3 linked regions of the Xenopus tropicalis genome follow. The protein of the gene in region 3 interacts with the protein of the main gene of each other region in a biochemical or structural test. Links are inferred from orthologs where the notes say so. Each region holds a gene or a part of one and is shown on either strand. Other genes may lie near its edges.

The links. The genes of interacting proteins can lie anywhere in the genome.
Region 1: of the proteins of hdac5 (region 3) and sik2, one has a biochemical effect on the other in vitro, tested with the Homo sapiens proteins (2 studies listed by BioGRID). The link is inferred for Xenopus tropicalis from reciprocal best matches to the Homo sapiens genes HDAC5 and SIK2.
Region 2: the proteins of hdac5 (region 3) and zbtb16 form a complex in vitro, tested with the Homo sapiens proteins (2 studies listed by BioGRID). The link is inferred for Xenopus tropicalis from reciprocal best matches to the Homo sapiens genes HDAC5 and ZBTB16.

Annotation. Positions count from the first base shown.
Region 1 is NC_030683.2:84,188,642-84,196,027, reverse strand, and holds the start of sik2 (serine/threonine-protein kinase SIK2), read right to left. Parts: upstream 4,534-7,386; 5' UTR 3,465-4,533; coding exon 3,330-3,464; intron 1-3,329. UniProt on the Homo sapiens protein: Serine/threonine-protein kinase that plays a role in many biological processes such as fatty acid oxidation, autophagy, immune response or glucose metabolism.
Region 2 is NC_030683.2:85,510,657-85,518,347, forward strand, and holds the start of zbtb16 (zinc finger and BTB domain-containing protein 16), read left to right. Parts: upstream 1-3,158; 5' UTR 3,159-3,388; intron 3,389-6,636; exon of another isoform or gene 6,637-6,704; intron 6,705-7,691. UniProt on the Homo sapiens protein: Acts as a transcriptional repressor. Transcriptional repression may be mediated through recruitment of histone deacetylases to target promoters. May play a role in myeloid maturation and in the development and/or maintenance of other differentiated tissues.
Region 3 is NC_030686.2:18,405,373-18,412,265, forward strand, and holds part of hdac5 (histone deacetylase 5), read right to left. Parts: coding exon 6,648-6,893; intron 5,255-6,647; coding exon 5,110-5,254; intron 4,975-5,109; coding exon 4,863-4,974; intron 4,444-4,862; coding exon 4,313-4,443; intron 4,186-4,312; coding exon 4,054-4,185; intron 3,829-4,053; coding exon 3,716-3,828; intron 3,382-3,715; coding exon 3,268-3,381; intron 3,132-3,267; coding exon 2,951-3,131; intron 2,692-2,950; coding exon 2,501-2,691; intron 1-2,500. UniProt on the Homo sapiens protein: Responsible for the deacetylation of lysine residues on the N-terminal part of the core histones (H2A, H2B, H3 and H4).

The DNA.
Region 1 (7,386 bases), on a different chromosome or scaffold from region 3:
AGATAGATGGTAAGTGATACAACAAAACTGAAAGGGACAGAATTGGGTAGAATTCCCTGCATCCCAGGGGCAGCATGTGATGGCCTTTAAGTACAACTGTCAGTGCAGACTTTATTAAACTGCACACACTAACTGCCAAAAGATCATATTTTTATTTAAGGTTTACATTTTTAACACAGAACGACTTCTTTGTTAAAAATTCTACTGTATTAAATATGCCAACATGAAGTTAGAAAAAAATGTAGCTATTACATATTGTTAGATACTCTGTACTTAATTGTTGGCTTACCAAAGCATTAATTGTTATGTGATCATTAAATATAAACATGTAAATAAGTAAATGTAACTTTAAGAATGTATTCATTGCCAACAATCATTTCTATAGGTCACAAAAATTAGCAAATTTAGGTGGAAAGGCTGATTAGAAGTGTTGTGCATTTTGTGTTGCAAGATAGTGTATAACAGAGCACAAAAAGCTTCAATAGTGCAACAATTAAAAAAAATGAACTGAAAAACTGAACAGTGTTCCGTGACCTGAATTCAGGGTCAAACAAACTTACACAATATGCAAAGTTTAGCAACAAAATGTACTTGTCTCAGGACCCGACGAAGCCCTCGATCTTATATCAACAGGAAGCAAAGAGTACATAAAGGGCAGCTTTCAATACTGCTTGCTACTGCAAGTCACAAACAAAAATGATCACTGATATCTAAACTAAACAGATATTGTTGGCAGCAAACCTGGCTCGCAAGATATTCACCTGCATGAGGAATAAGTTGAGGCAGAAATGTGCAGAGATGTATGGAGGTATAGTTGTAACTGGAGACTAAAAAATGCCTCTTAGAACTGTGCTAACTCTATATAGGCCCCAATACAATGCTTATATTATTTTTACATACAAAAGCACACTAAATTAAAATTACAAATGAATCTGTTTTTGCCACAATAAGGCAGAATGTTAAAATTTAAACATAAAAATATCTCCCCCACAGTCCAAAAAAAGTATTTCTAATAAAAGAATCTAATTCTAAGGAACCTTCCAATATACATTTCATAAAATTTTTCACTAGTTCTAAAGTAATTTGCAACTGAAAGCAGCACTTGTCTTTCCATTTCTGCACTGCTCGTTTTGTCATTTCAAACAAGGTAACAGAAGTCAGCCTTGCATGGCTTGCAGGCTTCAGCTACCTTGTTTCAAAAGTCCTAATAACAAAGGGCCAAACAGATACTATTATTCATAGCATATATATTTACAAAATAACTTTATAATTATTATAAATAGGCAATTCACATATACATGTTGAAAATTGCTTAGGATTACCATCTCTCAAATCTGGCAAACTTTTATTCACTGATTTATATCCCCTTTAATAACAATTTAACTAGTTCTTGACACAAGGACATGTTTAAACGTTTAGTAAAAGTATTATGTATAGAATACAGTAATGCATCACAGATAGAAGAAAAATAATGTTGTGTGAATACTCATTCAGCCCTTGCCAGCTCTCTAACTGTAAGAGCATCTCATTGCCACAGGATACAGAGGTCCGATGACAAGATGCAAGGGGTGACATTTAATCTGCCTTGGTGTAAGTGATACTAAGAGACTACAGGTCTCAGGAAAATATAAATGGCCATCAGATGACATCAATTTCTTAGCTGTATCAGTTTGATCGGCTGAACTACATGACCCAGAAACAGGTAAAAAACCCACAGTGTACACCTTTTAGATAGAGTGTCACTCAATCTTGGTAGTGTGACTGGAGTTGGTTTCTATACCTGAGATTGTGACTACAAGGCATTTTATGGCAACATAACTAAAATGCAGAATTCATGTTCTGTTCAGATGACTTATCATAAAAACTACACACTGGGCAAACAAACAAACCATGAACCCATTCTCTAAGAGAGATGCTTCACTGAAATGCTGCAGTAACCAATAGCAGCCAGAGATATACCTTTAATCAGTGCGATGCAGTTGGAAAAAGCAGGAAAAATTGATTGGTACTATGGATTAATGCACAGCTTTACCTGCGGTATTAAGTGAGGGGCTAAACCTGCTAGGTGGCTCATAAATCAGCAGGTAAACATGAACCGGTGTTCTTGGATTCTAGGGAACAAATTGGTTACTAGTGCAGTTCATAAGATACTTGGCCGAGTAGGTTTTGCCAGTCACCTGTAACTCTGGCTGTAAGTGAGAAAAGCAACAGCATGTTTGGCAAACCTTAGCGGTTGTTGAACCCAAACCCCTAGTATTCCCAGACAGAAGATGCTGGTACTTTATGTTTGACTTTGCTGTCTTTGGGCCACGAAACAGTAAGCAATGTAATGAGATTTAGCAAAATAAAAGCTGTTTGTACCCAAACTTTGTTTGCTAAAGTATTTCTATGCCAATTAATATGTTTATTGTCTCCATGGTGCCACACAAAGCAGGTCTGTACTGTGATTTTAAAGACTCTGGATTAATAAGAAATTATAGTTATATAATGTGGCATCAATAAAAAATAAAAATTTTATTATTGCAGTTGGCAAGATGTTTTTATTTTTACTATTTATTATCTTTACCCTTACTTGGCAGTGTCATAGTTGACACCAGTTGTTAATGGGAAAAGAAATGTCACGTTTAGGTGGCCACCAGCAGACCTTACCAGGCTAAAGCAATGGCACACTTGGATCCCCAAAAATAACACTTACCAAGTTAGAGCAATAACCTTACCCTGTAAACTATGCCATACTTAGACACCACAAGCTTAACCATTAAAGGGAAAAATGCCATATAGGAGAACCCAGCAAAAGCCTTTACCAGGATAAAGCAATGCCATATTTAAAAGCCCAGTAATGGTACTTACAAAGGTAATGCAAAGGCATGTCTGGATGTCTAACATAAGACCTCACTAGTGTAAAGGAGTATGGGTGCACTGCAAACACTCTCACAATTGTAAAACAATGCCATAAATAGGTGCCACTGCCCAGCACCTACCAGGTAACACCAATGCCATAATTACATGTCCAGCATTATCACTTGCTAAGGAAAGGTAATGCTGTAAGTTGGTGCCCAGCAAGTCCTCAGCAGCAACACTCCCTACCAGAACACAGCACTGTCACATTTGGGTGCCCAGCACTTTGCAGGGATAAGGCAATAGGCAGAAAATGCCCTTATTGGCATAATAGAAAATGGAAATAGTTGAAATGTAAAAGAAGCGGCTTCCCAGCTGTTATTGCGCTAAAACACGCTGCAGTTTTGCGCCAAGAGTTGTAGTGCAAGAACAGCAGAGGGATGCAGTGAAGCTCACACAAGTTATTAGCCAGACATTTGGCCAGTACTTGCCTCGGTTTTGGTGATCCGGTGCCTCGCCAGCTTCACCACCGCGAAATTCCCTTTCCCTAAAGTGCGTTCTATGTCATAAAATCCGACCCGGACAGGACCCCTCTGTACAGGCTTCTGACAGTCCGCCATGACCATGCTGGGAGCCGGGCCAGGAAGCTCCAACGGGAAACAGACATCAACCGGCACGATTAGTGCTCACACCCCCCAACAAGTCGCAGTGAAAGGAATCGCAGGCAGATCCTACAGGCGCTCACAGGGGGCTCACCTTAGCCATTCCTTATAGGCAAGTGCAACCCAACGCAAACTACATTCAGCTTCTAGCGCCCGCACATTACATACAATCGCAAGACTTTTCTGTAAAGTTGATGGTGGCGAAGAATTCCCAAATGGAACGCGTTACTGCTTGCATTGTCCAGCTCCTGCCATGTGTTCAGCACGGTTATACCCGAATGAGCTCTCACACATCCATGCAAGGTGGGAACGTCTGACATTAACATGCAAACAAAACGCAACCAATCGGGCTGAGTTTTCACAGGTCCGATAAAGTCAGCTCATCAAGTCGTTGCAGGCAGATTTACGGCTAAAGTGTTGCAAAGTAACGAGCATTGTGCAGCTCCCATTCACTTGCACAGAGGTATTGTTAGTCGCTGTAGCACGCGTGCGACCAGACACAGGGAGTGGAGGCAGCTGTGCAGCAGGAAGCCAATGTACCGCTCTATGCACAAGGCATCATGTTCTCACAGTTAACGTCCATTGACGTCAGAGCAGCAGGAGGCCTCCTGGGCGGGCCCTTTATTCCCTGTCTTTTTTTCACAGCTCGCTTGCCAAATAGGTTGCCCTTGACAACCGGAGCCAGCTCTGACGTCAGCAGCCCTCTGCTGAAGCTGTCAGTCAAGGCTAGCACAGGGAGAGTATACATGTGTGTGTGGCTGAGGCGCTGCCTGTTCGCACATAGCAGCTATAGCTTAGAGGCAGGATGGCAGCCCCGGGCCTGCTGCTGCACCGGGGCTCAGGGAGTTCCTGATCAGAGCTACGAGAAACATGCGAACAATTGGAAGCAGGGGGGCTGCATACATCCGCATTTACACAGCACTCTTTATTAACGCATGCACATGTTACTGGTCTTAATTAATTATTATAATAATAAGTAGCTCGCACAGTAACTTTGTTCTTATGGTGTTCCCTGGGCACGGTGCTCCTGGAGAGACAGCGCCACCACCGGCATCTGTGGGGCATGACAGGCAACATTACCCTGGCCCTAGCTGTGCTCTCTTAGGGCTGCTGTTCTATCTCTCTGTGCCAGGGCTGGTGTGGAGATTAGAGGCTTGTCGAACCGGGCTGTCAGCTGAGGGGAATAGGTACTCTGCTACCGCTTGTGTGCCTAGTGGGTCACTGACTAATGAACATTTTATGAAACTATCTTATAATTGCAACCCCTTTTTGGCTGCAAAACAAAGACCAGCTAGATGGGCTATGGAGCATGGGGTACACTTGACTAACACACAGGATGGGCCTTTGTTATGTGAAAGGACCAAGGGGGACATGTAGTTGTGCAACTACAATTCACTTATGCTGTGTGCAAAAATAAAGAAATAAAGGGTACCAGATGGTTCTTGCAGCAAACTCAAACAGAACTCAGTTTATTTGTCCAAGACAAATGGTCCACAGGTTAATGCAGTAATACTCACAATGCAGATGCAGGGCAACAGATTGGCACGTTAAATGCAGAGCAAGCAATGTAAAGATGCACCACTGTAGGGCATCTTTTTCCTTAAAGTTTCTTACCTTAATGGACCAGATCCCAAACAGCAGACATATATGAGGGAGAAGGCTATGCCTGATACCCTTGTTATAACTGTGGCCCCTTCAATTAGGCAGTGGAGACTGTAAAGGAGAATATATCCTGCACTTACTAAATCCTCGTTCACAGGGTCCCTGCTCCCCGACTTCTCTAGAGATAGATGGCTTTACTGAGGCCTTGTTGATCATGTACCTGTTTCAACAGATGCAGGCCAAATAAGAAGTTCTCACCTCCTGCTGAACACTATGTTACAGTGTGCAGCAAGTAATCATAAGTCTCATGGGCCAAAGATACAAAACATCCTTATAGCAAGATAGATACATGGGCTTCCGCCCAGTAATAGTGAAATAAGGAAGTGTAGGGTTTAAAGCTATTGGGAATGTTAACACTATAGGCCCCTGAATATTTAGTTAAACTGTAAAATGATTTTTTATAAAGAGCGCAGTAACTTCTACATACGCCGCTGTCTCTTGAAAAACTGCTGCTCATGCCCAAAATAACTATTGGCTCTTATACCAACACACATAAACTGGTGTCTTATGTGGTGATTTATGTAAGCACATTTTATATTTATATACAGCTATTTGTACACACAGGGCTGTAAATTGAGCAAGAAAATAAGTAGCCACTGCATACAGCCTGGAAGTGGTTTCATTGTTTTCTATAAGGCAAGTAGTCTTATTAATTCCATAGAAAAGAATAAGATCAACGTGAAAATAAAGCTTAATAACCGAGATGCCAGCCCAAATCCAAATTGATCCAGGGGCATATTGACTGTCCCTGTCTCACCCATCGGCCATTCAATGCTTCCTGCTCCTCTGCTTCTGATTATATCAGAGGACTGGTGATGACTCTATGTATTTCAATGAAGTGTGTAAGTTTGGTTTCAGGTGCATATTACTGTAAGAGGGAGATGGACCCAGTGGCATTACAATAGTAGGGTGACAAAGGTTTCCTTTCTCTATAAAGGGGTGACCTGCAATTTTACACACAACCTGGGATGGATCCATAGCTCTTTTCTACAGAAGCTGCAGTATTTAGCACCCAGGAGGCAGAGTGAGTAGCGATGTACTCTTGAATTAAAAGATGTTTACCTGAGGCAAAAATTGAGTCATTTTTTGCAGAATTCCTGATTACTTAAAGAAATAACTTTTGTTTCTTAATAAACAAGGACAATGTAATGTATGTGATCTGCTTAGTCCAGGTCACTAATAGTATATGTAAGCAAGAATATTTCCATTTTCATGTTTTGGCTAAATATGGGAGCTGTCATTCATACAAAACAAATATGTAGATACACAAGAGTGTACAGAAAAATCAATTTAGTTAATTATTTCAATTAAACGTTTATAGAAACGTTAAATTAAAATAGAACTTAAAAGACAGTGTATAAATTCAAGTGAAGGGCAAATGATCTTTTAATTGTGCTTTCTGCTAAATGAAGACATGGTGGGGCACTTGTGCAAGACTGCCCCCTTTATCTGAGGTCGGGCCAAGTCCAATAAAGGCATTTTCTGATATAAAGCTGCTGTATACTGCTTTTCAAAGACTGCAAAAACAAAAAAATATGTGGGCATAGCATTGCCCTGTTGGATTTTAAAGGTGTAAAACAGGAATGGACAGTAAATCTGGATATTCTGCCAATAGCTAGAATAGATTTTATATTCTGCCTATGGGGTGTGTTTAGGTTTCTGTATACTTGAAATGCCAAAGTGTACTGATTTCAATCTAGGGCATGGTGTCTGGAAGACTCGTGTGTTGAGTACAGCCCAATATAGTCTTAATCTGACGCTGGAACAGAGAGGTCACGTTTAGACAGGAGAAGCTCATTATAAGAATCAGATCAAGAAACAGCAGACACGGTATTAAGCCAGATTACAACAGGCTAGAAGACGTCTACGTTAAATAAGTGTTCTTTTGGTTAAGGAATACATGATAATGTAGCAATATATGTGATTGTATGTTAGTTAATTTTGCATATTTCTATAATCAGTTTTTATTGTTATAGCAGCAACATGTTCCACAGCTTTTACATATTATGCATCATTCACATCAGACCCTGCCCAAATGGAGCAGGGACTGATGGAGCATATCACATTTACTCAGCACACACACTAGGACCACTAGCCAATTAACTTGGCTCTATGTTTTAGCTGATTGGGAGGAAACTAAAGATCCTGGATAAAACCCACACAGTCACAGGTAGACAAACTCTTTGTAGATCATATCCAGGTCACTTGGAACCTCAGCTTTATA
Region 2 (7,691 bases), on a different chromosome or scaffold from region 3:
ACCGTTTCCATACAGCTCATATGAATCTGTACGTCTCATATGGATTTCTCCAATGGGTGTGACAGTCAGAAAGACTTTTCAAGCCAAAGTAAATATGAAGGGTATTGAACACAACTAGCTCAAGGTTTTCTATGCAATTCCGTGGGTTATGATATGCTGTTCCTCTTGACAAGTTGCATTAGAATTTAGTCTATAAAACAATATTATAAAACAGGGCAATTTTAGTGTGGAAATACACTTTTTACAAACTTAGAATCAGAACTGCTGCCATGGCAAGGTTAAAAAAAACCCCAAAAAACTAGAACCTAAAGGTCAGATGTGGGTTGATTAAAGGGGGAATGGAAGAATGAAAAAAAAAAAATGAGAACTGACATTGTTTTGATCTTTCTGAATTCCCCACTGACTTATGATTCATGGTCCACATGAGTTCATCTGGACAATAACATCTAGAATAACAAGACAAGTTATATGTGGGTGGGGGCTGCCAAGTACTCAGACCCCCAAATTTGCAAAATTCTTAACAATTCTTGTTGGTGGTTATTGTTTGCCATGACAGAATTGACACAATCTAGATCTCTAATAAAACATCCCACACATTCTGACTAAGAGTTCTGCTAACTATACAATGTATTTTTCATAGCAAACCTTCACTATTTCTATTCTACAAATTATATATATATATATATATATATATATGTGGGTGCAGGATAGACCTGTCAGTGGACACACAGTGGATTTTGGTGCATAAGTGCAAAAGCATGCATTTTTGCACCAAAATCTGCTGTGTGCCCTAACAGGATGATCCCAAGCATGTCAAAGGCAGCATATTTGGTTTTCTCTACTGGCGTAAATACAACCCAGGTGCAAATATATAAAAATCCACAATTCATAAGGTAACCAAATACACACTTATAAAAGTATCTAAATCTGCAACCCTCATCTAACAGTGAAACCTAACTCCTCATCCAGCTTAGATTTTAGTGTCACCTGAACCAAGTAAATTATACTTAACTGATCATTTCTTTAAACTTAGACATTTTTAACAAATGTTGCAGGGATTTATAAAAAGGACTGTTGCTCCACAGGAAATCTTTTTTTCAGTTTTAAGATAAAGAGTGTTTTTTTTTTATTAATATACAGAGTTTTAAAGAAGCATATATTTCCAGCAACACTGTGTAATTTTAAAATGTTGAATACATACTGTTCATATTAATTCCCTTGGTATTGTATTAGGTAATTATTACATGTTAAATATATTAACATTGATTCTGGTAAAATTAGTCTGTGATAAAGACAAAGGATAATATTCAACTAAAAAGCTTAACAGAAGTGTCAATATTTCTCCCAAGGGAAGAACATCTAATAGACTTCCAACTAACTGTCGGAGGATGATCGGGGTTTTAGTTCAATATCAGAAGGAGCTGCATTTAGCCTACTGCTTCTTTAAATTATTACATTTTACATTTAAAAGTGCTACAGCAAAAGCCACTGAAGTTCCCAAGAATCTCCAGACACTCAATGCATAACCAGCCTCCTAAAAGCATATCTAGTCTTTTGCTGTCTTGTTGACGAAGAAGTAAGTAATAGCATAAAGCCTAAGACTAAACCCACATAATATGAAAAGCCCAATTATTCTCTTAATAATCCCTGCTAGGATCTACAGAACTGAAATACAGTTGTGGACATCACAAGAATACAATAATAAAAATGTCATATATTGAACTAAATCCATGTAAGCCCAAAATACATCTCTTTATTCTGAACAAAAGGATGTTGGGTTTTAAAAAAAAAAAAAAAAAAAAAAAATACCACAGAACATCTTAATTGCAATAAAACACAAATCTAAACACACGTAGATACAAACAAGCAGTATGTAACGCAATCAATTATTTGATGCATTTAAAGGGGAACTCCGCGCCAAACACAAATTAAGCTTTTTGAAAAATAAACATAATTTCAAGCAACTTTGCAATATACATCAATTCAAAAATATGCATCTTTTGATGATTTTTAATGTAATAATATGGTTTGGAACAGGTACCTAAGCCTGGCCCCCTGTTCTCCTGCTGATCTGGCTGACTACTTTGAGATTAAAAATAAAAATTTAACAGTAGTCGACTGTCCTCAGCCTGAATCCTCCAAATCTCACAATTCCCTGCACACGTGATGTCAATAAGGAAAAGAACATCACAGTGCTTTGTGGGTAATGTAGTTCCTGCATTCTGTCTGTAAGCTGTGGAGAATTTTTTTTTTTTTTTTAACATGTGTTTTAGTCCCTCCTCCCCTGCAAATGATGCAGAAAGGGAAGAACTGTTTTGCAGCTTGATTTCAGCATATAAAAATGGTATTTATTCAGTGATATGTGGGGCTCTTTTAAAAATGTTGGTTCCAAAGCCAGAGTTCCCCTTTAAGTGCGTTCCAACCAGCATCTCAAACATGTAAGAAAAAAAAAAACCATGTGTAAGGGCCCTTAATATACACATTAATGCTATACTTGATCTCTCATTTGTCCTGCCTTACATGAACCTCATTTAAGGAGAAGGTGGGCACCAAGCCTCACTCACACCATTTGATCCCCTATATACAATGTAGGATCGAATGTGTCTCCTAGTATTCATGTCCCTGGGTCAACTGTACCTTCCTTTATAAGAATGAAAAAAATCACAAAACGAATTGTATAACGCCACTGTTCTTTTAAAGACCCTCATTAGCAATGGGCTTTAGATAAGACAGTTAAATATGGTAAAGGAACCAAGCAGCCACAGTGGAATGTCTAAAGGACACTTCTGAAAGCGCAGACAGAATACACCGGGTACAAGTAAGGGGACCTATGTGATTATAGTATTCCTTTAACAAGAGAACGCAGACTATTTATTACTGTATATAGAAGCACTCGCTGTTGTTACCCCTACAGACACATTAGCATTCACGGTTCAGTACTTAATGAATGGAAATGCTGCGAGGTCTCGGCTCATGACAAGGCTGCGCTGTTATTCTCTACCCACAGAATTCCATAAACTACCGCCTTGCCGAGAACTATTATGTCTAACCCACACTGAAACCCGCCGATTCCCTGCCGCTTGAATCTTCAGAGCACCTGATGCTCCCTTTCCAACCACTCTTGACTGACACCAACCTTCCATTCCTTCCTAGCCAGGAGTAAGCATGGCGGCCGGCCGCTCCAGCATGGGGAGAGAGAGTCACGTGGGCCAGGCGCCGGCCTGACGTCATCGTTGTGTTGATTTGCTAACCTTAAAGGAGAGAGGAGTTAGTGAGCATGAGAGCGGGCACTGCGAACTGTTTGGATTAGGCTGCTGCTTTAAACAGCGCATCTCTACTCACATACATGCCTGCAGAGAGAGCTAGCAAAGGAAGAAGCCCATCTGAGGTGAGTGCAGCTAGTGAGCCTTTTATTCCTACAAAGTGAGCTACTCCCTAAACTTATCATAAGGGCATTTCTTATTGATAGCGGCTACAAGAGGCTGTGATTGGATTGAGTGGCTGAGTACAGTAATACAATACGCTGGGTTATAGTGTTCTGATACAAGCATGCTCAACCTGAGACCTTGCTGCGTTATAGTTCTCACTGTACCTCGGCAGCCTCCGCTTGTCTGGACATTGTGGGAAAGGTAACCCTAGCCGAGGGTGGGTAGGTCACGTCTGTGTCTATAGCCATGCTTGCACTTACACTGAGGGGAGCTTGCATTGCTCAGGCTCCGGAAAGTCGGAGTTGCGCTGGGTACATGCATACTTCATGACGTTTGTCTGTTTCCCCTTTACACTGACAATGCAAGCATATTATTGTCCTGTACGGGTTTAGTTGTGCACGTTAAGTGCTCTCCCTCCATCACTTTTTATAGTGATCCCAAGTCAACTTCAGCTGCTGCTGTGTGAGATCCGTGCGCTCTGCATGGCACAAAGCGCTGGAAAAGTTCATCAGAAATCCCGAATTAGCTGCTTATTGGCAGGATAGCGCTAATTGTGTATGCGCCGCCACACTCCCGGCACACAGGAGCCCCGTTATTATCCTTATGATCACTATTATTAGGTGAGGATAGAGAGCCGGTGAGGTGCACACTTACTGAGTACTGACAGAGCTATGGCTTGCGAATACTGATTTGAGGGATGCTCTATTGTGCACTGCAGGAAAGGCTGCGATACAGTTCATCATCTTGGATTAGAATTCGTACAGATCCACATCTGGTACTAATACAGATCGCTTTTCTACAAGGCACAATAGGGCATCCCTTAGCCCCAGCGCTGTCCTGCCATCCTAGGCGCAGGCTGTCCCAGTGGGTGCACATTGATTATTGTTAGTGTTATCATAATGTCGCACACTGATTCTGAGAGCCCCGCTGCCCTACCATTGAGCAACTCACGCACATTGGGATTAACTTTAAGCGCTTTGTGCAATGCAGGGGGCATGGCGCTATTTCGCTGTAAGGTGCAGACTCCTCCGTGCGCTGCAGGGAGACAATATCATTTCTTAGAATAAATTCCGTGCGCTGCAGGGAGACAGTGAGATTTCGCTTTCCTGCTGCTGCTCTGAGACGGGCATGGTGTTTGCACTTGTTTGTGTCTGCTGGTCCAGGTTTTCTTTCGGGAGATGGGATTCTATAGAGAAACTGTGATTTATTGCGTTTTATATAGATAAACAATAGAAAATTGCGTTTGATCACCCTTGGATTGTGACATCAATATCTTGCCATTCCCACTGTCTCTTTGCATTTCATCTGTTGAATGAAAACCCGAGCTTTTCCCTCCGCTCCCCTTTTCTCGTGGAATATTTTTATTTTTGTGCATTTTTAGTATTATTCCTGTAGATTTCATTCATATGTGTGCTTTCCATTGCTTCCCTCTCTCCCCATAAAACATCATGTTCTCAATTCTATCCAGAATTTTGTTATGAAACTGCCCCGCCCCTGTATCCCTGCTGTATCTGTCTGTACAGTGCGATCTATCTGGATCGGTCTGGCCGCTAATTCCATTCTATACGAATCTTTGAGCTGGATACCGGGCTCCGTGCGCTAAAAGCCCCGCGTCAGTATTTGGTGCTCTCTACATTTCTGTCACTGTATATTGGAGGTGGGGTACGGCAGAGAGGACAATTGCAGGATATTGTCAGTATACATTTCACTGATTTTAGCCTGCAACCTTCTAGCTGTTGCTCTACTACAACTCGTAGCATCACCAGTAGGAGGGTGCTGGGAGTTGTTGTTTCACAGCAGCTGAAGGGGCTGCAGGTTGGATAACCCTGATTTGTTGGCCCTTCACCTCAGGTTGCCCTAACTGAGCTGCTCTTATTATTAAGTGACATCTTGTCACATTGCCTCATATTTTACTTATTTTGAACCCCCCCACCATTAAAACGTCTTTCCTCCAAACAAGGGTTAATATCCGTGTGATCTAATCTTCATGTTATTTATGCTATCATGGGTTTTTATGCAACATGTATGATTTCCAAAAACTTGATGTGCCAGGGGTTTAAATAGGCTAAATCTTGGCAATACACAACTGATAAAGAACTTTTAATAGTTCACTAATTAACCCTTCCAGCTCATCAAAAGCAGCTTTGTTCTGTCACAGGGTGTCTTTCCGACCCCCCCACCCTTCCTCCCATCCCCTGTCCAAAGAAAAACAAACAGGAGACTCACAACTGAAACCAATAGATCTGTTTGTCCTTGTTGCAAACCTCCAGGCTGGTGTCCTTGTTTGTAACAAACCTTCTCCTGTATGGGCATTTGCATGGGCATCGTCATGGGCAGAGCTCGCTTTGCTTTATTCTTTATACAGTACATAAACCATAACTTGCTGCCTCAATTGCTTTTTTTGCTTGTTCTTGAAAATTTGCGTGTTTTTTAACAGAGACTTAGCAGTTTCTTCTGTAAAACGCTTACGCACCCATAAAAGTCTGCAGAAATAGAATTCTTTTATGGATAGAGGTAAACTGTAGCCCATATTTTATCACTTCATAAATTATGTGTAACACTGCTTCCCAATCCCACCCATCTCCCCCCCCCCTTTTTTTTGTCTTTAGCTGTTATTGTAGACAGCTCCCTTTTACAATCAGTGATCAATTAGTGTGTATTATCTTATGCCCTGATTGATAAGCCACACAGGTGTTTGCTTTTAGCCCTCTGTCAAGGTATTTTAAAGTGGTAGAGGAAATATTTGCCTTTTTCCGGGTGACATCACAGTTAAGAGCTGAGGTTTATGGGTCTTTGTGTGGCTCTGCATTTATCCCGGTGACCCTCACACTGTATAACTGCCTGCTACTTCCCAACAGACAAAAACATTCCTGCTATTTGCACACACAATAGTACTAGCCACTATTGTGGGATCTGTTTTCTTAGCTCTCTTACCCTGATTTATTATTTGTTGTGTCCAGTATTAATGTGTTTTATTTTATTCTGGTGATATGAAAGCCTGTTATAACACTCTTCACTTTTAAAAAAGGTTTTTGACTTTGAATGTTAACTGCTGGGAACATTTCAATTACAAGGTGGAAATATGTTTTAATGTTGCCTAGATAATGTGGCAGTTCTCATTCTTGCTAATTTAACTTAAATAGTTACTCATGAAGCCAGTTATCTGAACTACAGATGATTTCCCCTACTTTTTATAATACTCTTACAGATCTCTTGATGCCATGCTACTATGTGATACTTGTTGGGGGATATGAAGAAGACCTACATGCTTTTCTGGTATGCTTTAGTTTGTTCATGCGGCTAATTGTAATGAAAAGGTTTAAGGGTGCTTGGCTTTGATACTTCACAGAGCTAGATACCGTAATACATAGCTAGAGAAGTCCACTGGGGGGAATTATTTCTGTACTTAGGCAAGGTGTAACAAATGTGTATGAAACCCAATCATAACATTCCATTTAACATTTAAAATAACATTTGAAATTATTTTTTTTTTTATTTGGCCAGTATATAATTGAAGAAAAATGTGTTCTTTACCTCTTAATTCCTGGTGGGTCACATGCTGTAGAATTTTTTTTGGCTTTGCTACAAGTGTATTAATTTATTCTTTTAAATAGTGTGGACTTTATAATGTTTGTTGATCTTAGTGTTCAGCTTCCACAGAGGTTGGGGTTTGTCTTTCTTTTTCTTTTTTTTTTTTTTTTTTTATAAGAGTTTCTAAATTAAATGAGTTTTATTTCCAGTTTTGCTGAATCGCATGTTGCTTGTGCGCAGTGTAGTTTGAGTTTCAGTGCATCTGGGAGCTATTAGTTTTTTCCCTAGTAAGTGTTAAGTGGGCAATATATGAAGGGGTATTCACTAAACTGTTTGTTGTTGCACATTGACGTTAATGTACCTTTAAATTCATATTCATAGGTAAAAAGTGCTAATGGCAAATTAATGCACAAAACAAAAAATAAAAACATTGGTTTGCATTTGTAATCTCTAAAGTTGTTTAATGGATTTCTAGTAGTTTTCCTCGCAAGATAAGTTGTTCCCCAGTGACAAAAAACATGCGGCAAGTTCATTTAGACTTTTTTTTCTATTAGAAATGAAAATATACTTTTATAATTGTCTTTATTCTTTTCACCTAAACTTTATCTTAGTGACTTCATAACAGAAGTACCTGCATCCAGCATAGAAGCTTTTAAGCTTGTTGAAAGAGCAAGCATATGGATGGGGTGATCCCTTAAATCACAGGTTGGAACCTGTTACCCTCCAAAAGAG
Region 3 (6,893 bases):
CGTGTTCAGGTACCACAGCCTTGCCTTATCTGCCTCTGTTAAAACAAGCAACAGACTTCTTTAGCGCCTCCCACAGTTCTTCTATTGTTGGAATCCCCAACCTTTTTTTACTCATGAAAAATGTATTTGGGGATGCCAAATAAGGGCTGCGATTGGATATTTGGTAGACTTCTGGGAACTGCTAGCCAGCAGGAGGCTCTGCTTGGAGTAAAAGTGTGTCTGTGATTCTGAAGCCAGAAATTTAAAAATGGGCACCTACTCTGAGACCAATATCAAAGGGGATGGTAAGCAACATGTTGCTTATGAGCCACTGGTTGGGGACCAGTATTGTGTTACCATGCCATTAAAATAAGCCAGCTAGGGAAAAGATCACATGGTTTAGATCCCCTAAAAGCAGAACTTCATTACAATGGAGGAATTGTCAGGCCAGAAATCAATGAAGGGGAAAAATACACATACATGGAAATGGAAAGCATACAATCAACAGATGACAGCTACCCTAGGGAAGTAATAGGACCACCCTGATGTTTGGAAATAGTATGGGTGGGTCACAGACATCCCCAAGATAAGGGCATGCAATGTGACCAGAGTAATTAAAATAGTATTGGCAAATAATGACAGAAATATAGCTAGGAAAAGTCAGTATGACAGTCCATTGGGTGTCATACTCCTAGATACCCCAAAAGCCCAGCTAAGGTCAGTCAGCATACAATTTGGGTCAAATCTTTTACATTGGTGAACAGACATACAGTGGATATTTTCACACCCCTGGTAAAATGTCAGGTTCCTGTGCTGTACAAAAATGAGACAAAGATAAATCATTTCAGAACTTTTTCCACCTTTAATGTGACCTATAAACTGTACCACTCAATTGAAAAACAAACTGAAATCTTTTAGGTGGAGGGAAGAAAACCAAAAAAACTAAAATAATGTGGTGTACACACCCTTAAACTAATACTTGGTTGAAGCACCTTTTAATTTTATTACAGCACTCAATCTTTTTGGGTATGAGTCTATCAGCATGGCACATTTTGACTTGGCAAGATTTGCCCACTCTTCTTTGCAGAAACACTCCAAATCTGTCAGATTGCGAGGGCATCTCCTGGGCACAACCCTTTTCAGATCACCCCACAGATTTTCAATCAGATTCAGGTCTGGGCTCTGGCTGGGCCATTCCAAAACGTTAATCTTCTTCCAGGGAAGCCATTCCTTGATTTGGATGTATGCTTTGGGTCGTTGTCATGCTGAAAGATGAAGTTCCTCCTCATGTTCAGCTTTCTAGCAGAAGCCTGAAGGTTTTGTGCCAATATTGACTGGTATTTGTATAATACCTTTTCCCACATGTTTTTGGGAGACTTCAGATGTGTTTTTGCAAAATGTAGCCTGGCTTGGATGTTTTTCTTTGTAAGAAACGGCTTTCCCCTTGCCACTCTACCCCATAGCCCAGACATATGAAGAATATGGGAGATTGTTGTCACATGTACCACACAGCCACTACTTGCCAGATATTCCTGCAGCTCCTTTAATATTGCTGTAGGCCTCTTGGTAGCCTCCCTGACCAGTTTTCTTCTCGTTTTTTCATCAATTTTGGAGGGACGTCCACTTCTTGGTAATGTCACTGTTGTGCCATATTTTCTCCACTTGATGATGACTGTCTTCACTGTGTTCCATGGTATATCTAATGCCTTGGAAATTCTTTTGTACCCTTCTCCTGACTGATATCTTTTAACAAAGAGATCCCTCTGATGCTTTGGAAGCTCTCTGGGGACCATGGCTTTTGCTGTGGAATGCGACTAAAAAAAGGAACCTGACATTTTACCAGGGGTGTATAGAGTTTTTATATCCACTGTATATCCATTTATGACATTAACTTTAGGATTGCAGAGCTACATAAATTCCCATTCCCATTCTCACTGTACTGAGAATGAGAAGAAGCAACTCCAAGGCTGTCCTGGGAAGAGTACAGAAGCTTACAGACTTCTGGGTTAGGAACACTTTAGATAAGCTTACAAAAAGTTTGGGGATGGGAATACATTAGGAGAAGCTTTTATAGAGCTCCACGTTGAGGACACAGTAGAAGAAGCTTGCAGAGAGTTTGGAGATGGAGGTAGAGAACAAGAGCTTTTAGAGAGCTCCACATTGAGAACATAGATGAAGAAGTCAGCATAAAGTTTGGGGACAGGGGTAAAGATTAAGAAGCTTTGAGAAGCTTTTAGAGAGCTCCACATTGGGGACAAAGAAAAAGAAGCTTGCAGAGAGTTTGGGGATAGGAGTAGAGAACAAAAGCTTTTAGAGAGCTCCACATTGAGGAAACAGTAGAAGAAGCTTGCAGAGAATTTGGGGATGGGAATACAGAACAAGAAGCTTTTAGAGAACTCCACGTTTAAGACACAGGGCAGGAATATTGTGGAATAATGGCACTATATCAAGCTTATGTAGAGTTCTGGAGCAATGGCATAGTTGCACAGTTAAGCTAAGGTCCTGAGTGGTCTATACAAACCTTGTTGAGGTGTTGCTGGTCCAAGTAATGCTGGTGTTGCAGAACCAGTTGTTGAAGCGCCTGAGGACTTTGCGGGAGAGGAGAGGACTGTGTACGACTTAGGGGACGATGCCTTGTGCCTTTGGTGACAGAGCGTAGGGAACCAGAGACTCGGTCTCCCCCTACTAAGGGGGACTGACCATGAAGAGGGACTGCAACAAAGAATAACTAATAGTAATGAAAAATAATTTGACTGACGAAGGAAAGTCTAAATATTATTTGATTCCATAAGACGGAAGGAAAGCAAGTTAGGAAACTTGAGGAAATAAGTCAGGTTATAATAAGATGGGTGAATGAAGAAAAGAAAATGTAACCGGGTGTCATGAAAAGAGAGAGAATTTAAGGATAGAAAAACTAAAGGAGAAAAATGAAACCTTGAAAGGAAAAGGGAAAAGAAAAGCAGATATTCACCTGTTATGAGAGCGCTCTGCTGTCTAGCCTGCTCTAGTAAGAGAACATGCTGTAGGAGAGAAGGTGCCGTCAGGGTACTTATCTCACCCCCATCCAGGGCAGGCAGTGGAGAGGTGTTAATGAAGGGACCACCTGGGCGCAGACTCTGACGCTCTGCCCCTTCCTGGGGGCTAAACTGACCCTGAGGAGAGAACCTTAGAAGTAGTAAAGGTCAAGTCATCATGCCTGGAAATGATACATTTCTAAAAACCCTCTGTAAATGTGCAAAGGTTTTCTCAGACTGTAAACATTACTTCCATTTCAGTCTGGCTACTCACAGTTAGGCTGCTGGTGCTCCCCTGCAGGCAGATGTTGGGCAGTGATGGAGAAGTATACAACCCGAGAGGTCCACCCGCTCCTTCCAGAGCCAGAACTCTCTGCTGAGGAAGCATCTAAAGAATTTAGAGTACAATATTGTCACTGGTTAAGTAGTGACCACTGCAACACAAAACAATTTTCACCCACCATGTTCAGAAGCCCTTGTACTATTTAAACTATCCAGTCATTTGACCCTTCTCACCTCTTCCAGCTTCCATGCTGGTCTGGACTGGTAGTCAAAATAGGCCCTGGCATTCTATGTACACAGAAGCCCTAACAGCCCCCCACCAGTCCACTTTCTATTGCATATTACAGCAGCTCCTCTGGCATTTGCCAGAAGCCACAGATTGCCAGTCCGGGCCTTCCATGCACATCTTTCCCACAACTTTTACCCTAGGCCTCCCTTACCTCGCTGGCAATATTAGGCACGCTGCCAGTCAGTCCATTCTCACATATGGCACTGTTGGAGCTGTTTGGCGAGCTCGGCCCAGATCCTGGGGCACTATTGCACACCGAAGACACTGCGGGAGGAGCACCAACATCTCAGCGATGAGACTTGGGTTTCAGGGGAACAGGAAAAAAAGCAATGGAGTGCAGTAGAACTAAAGTGACTGTATGAGCAGTATGGGGTGAGGAATGCAATATATAAAGGATAAGTAGAGGCAAATATGTGGGTGCAGGTAGAAGGAATTCAGCAAAGAGTAGCAGTAAAGAGTTGCTTAAAGATTGTATCAGTTCCAGCATACCCTGGATTTCAATGGCTCTTTTCTTAAAAGCACTGATAACAGTTCCATCCTTTCTTCGAAGCAGAGGACTACTCCGACGTTCTGCAACTTTCTGCTTTAATCGGGATCGGACCTTAAGATTAGGTTCCGAGGCTGCAGGAAAACATAATAAGATTTTGAATAACATCCTACACATAAACCTTAGCCTCAAACTCTTCACTGATCATTCTCCCTCAGTTTCTCTGGTGCCCAGTATAAAACCCAAGTTGGATATACTAACCAGTTTTGCGGAGAGGAAAGTCATCACGTCCATCGCAGGTTGCAAGGAGGGATACCTTATAGGATGGGGGAGTTGCTGGTGACCCAGACTGAGGAGGGGAACTATGGTCCAGTGAGGTATGGTGCGTGCCCCTATGACAAAAGAATGGGACACTGATATGCCATGAGAAAACAGATGAGAGGCCATAAGGTAAATGAACATTTGGTACATATAAAATAGTGAAATACAGTTATAATGGGGTAATGCTACATGTTAAATACAGCAAGAAGGCACAGAGTTGCAAAGATTAGAGCAAGATACTAAGGGAAAGGGAGGAGGAGAGGGTGAGAACATATTAAGTAACAAAATCCAAGGAAAGGAGAGATGAAGATGTAGAGTAGACTGCAGGTACTTGAGGTGACAGTGCAAGTAAAGATGAGAATTAGATGGAAAGAGAAGTAGAAAATAAAGATGGGAAGAGCACTTAAGAAAGCAGCGAATACCATGTAGTATGAAGGAGGAATAAAGCAGGTTTCAGGAGTGCAAGAAACCTCTTCTAGTTCTCACTTACCAGCACTTGGGGTGCTGTAGGATGGAATGGTTCACATTTCCAGGTACCTCCTTGGACTTACTGAGCAAAAATTCCTGTAGCTTTAGTTTCACCTCTGTGCTGGCAATAGCACCTAACAAAAACCAGAGATTACACACTAGTAAAGGATTAAGCACCATGTCTCTAAATAAGATGAATGTTCTGCAGCTTCTGATCATATTGCCTTGCCCCCTAGCTTAATTGTATCCCCTTTCCTTAATCCTCTTACTTTCTTTGCTCTTCTCCTTGTTCCTCAGAATCAGAAGCTGCTGCTCCAGTCGCTGTTTTTCAGCCTCTTCCTGCCTCTGCCTTTCACGCTTTCTCTGCTGTTCCAACTCTTGCTGTCTCTTAGCGGCCATGATCTCCTGCTGTTGCTGCAAAAATTCAAAAAGACTGGGGTGAATGCTGGAGCAGTGATCTCCAACCAGTGGCTCGGGGGCAACCACTCCCTTTGATGTTGCTCCCAATGGCCTTAAAGTAGGTGCACAGAGACATAGTTTTACTCCAAGCAGAGCCTCCTGCAGGCCAGCAGTCCACATGGGGCTACCAAATAGCCAATCACAGTCCTTATTTAGCATCACCAAAGAACTTATATCATGCTTGTGTGGCTCACTAACACTTTTCATATTTAAAGGAACAGTAACACCAAGAAATGAAAGTAATTGAAATATAACGTACTGTGGCCCTGCACTGGTAAAACTGGGGTGTTTGCTTCAGGAACACTACTATAGTTTATATAAATAAGCTGCTGTGTAGCCATGGGGGCAGCCATTGAAGCTGGAAAAAAGGAGAAAAGGCACAGGTTACATAGCAGATAACAGATAAGACACCATTGTATTCTACAGGGTTTAACTGTTAGCTGCTATATAACCTGTGCCTTTTCTTCTTTTGAATGGCTGCCCCCATGGCTACACACCAGGGTTTATATAAACTAGTAATGTTTCTGAAGCAAACACAAAACTTTTACTAGTGCAGGGCAGCAGTGCATTATAGTTTAATTTCTTTAAAATATATACATTTTTTGGTGTTACTGTTCCTTTAAGGTGTGGCTAAAAAAGGTTGGGGATCCCTTTGCTGGAAGATGGCAATTCAACATAAATAACACAATTCTCTACCAGAACTGACAAGAAAAGGAGCAATGTCTGCATATGGTTATAAGAAGAAAGCTAGTTTGGTTGAACAGATAAGACGACATCCCAATCAGAGAGACAGCCAAAAATCTTTATATGGGGGAAAGGGCAATCTCTAAGGAATATGGAAAAAAGAAAAGTAATTTCTATAAGTTGTGGGCATGATCCGGTGGGAAATGCTTATATTTAGCAGGAAAGCTACTAGTCAAAAAGCCGTCATATAAAACTGATAAAGAACAAACATTTAAAAGAAAGGAATGGGCTACAGAGCAGTTCTGCTACAAAATGCTCAGAAAAGTGTTGCAATTCATTTAAGGTTTAGTTTACTACAAGGCACAAAAATGGATGCCCGGGCATGTTAAAATACACATATTCATCGTGCTTGTGCTCATATAGTGGAGGAAGAAACATGTTGCCAGTAGTACTTACTTCAAGGGGCATGGTGCCAGTTATAATATACATAGGAGCAAAGGAGTCCCGGACTGAGCAACACAGTGAAATGTACTGATTATTTAGACTATGATTTAGTAAATGAGCCCAGTGATTCTTGAGCTTTACGGTGGGGGGAAGTTAAAGGGACCCTGTATGAAGGTGTTGGTTACATGGGTTTCACAAGCCACCAAGAAAGGTTCCACACCTTAAGGTGTTTCTGTAGTTGGACCTCATGTTGCCTTGTCAGGTTTTCGTGCTGCTTTTGGAACTCAGCAAATAGAAGCTGCTTCTGGAGTTGCTGCTGTTGTTTCAGGAGAAGTAGCTGCTGCTGGAGCTGTTGTTCCCGACCCACTGGGTCCAGGATACCCCCAGAGCCGCTGCCGGACCTCGGTTCCGCTCTCAGCTCTCCTGAAGTAGGCGATAGACTGCTGGGAGTGGGTACTGCCGCAGA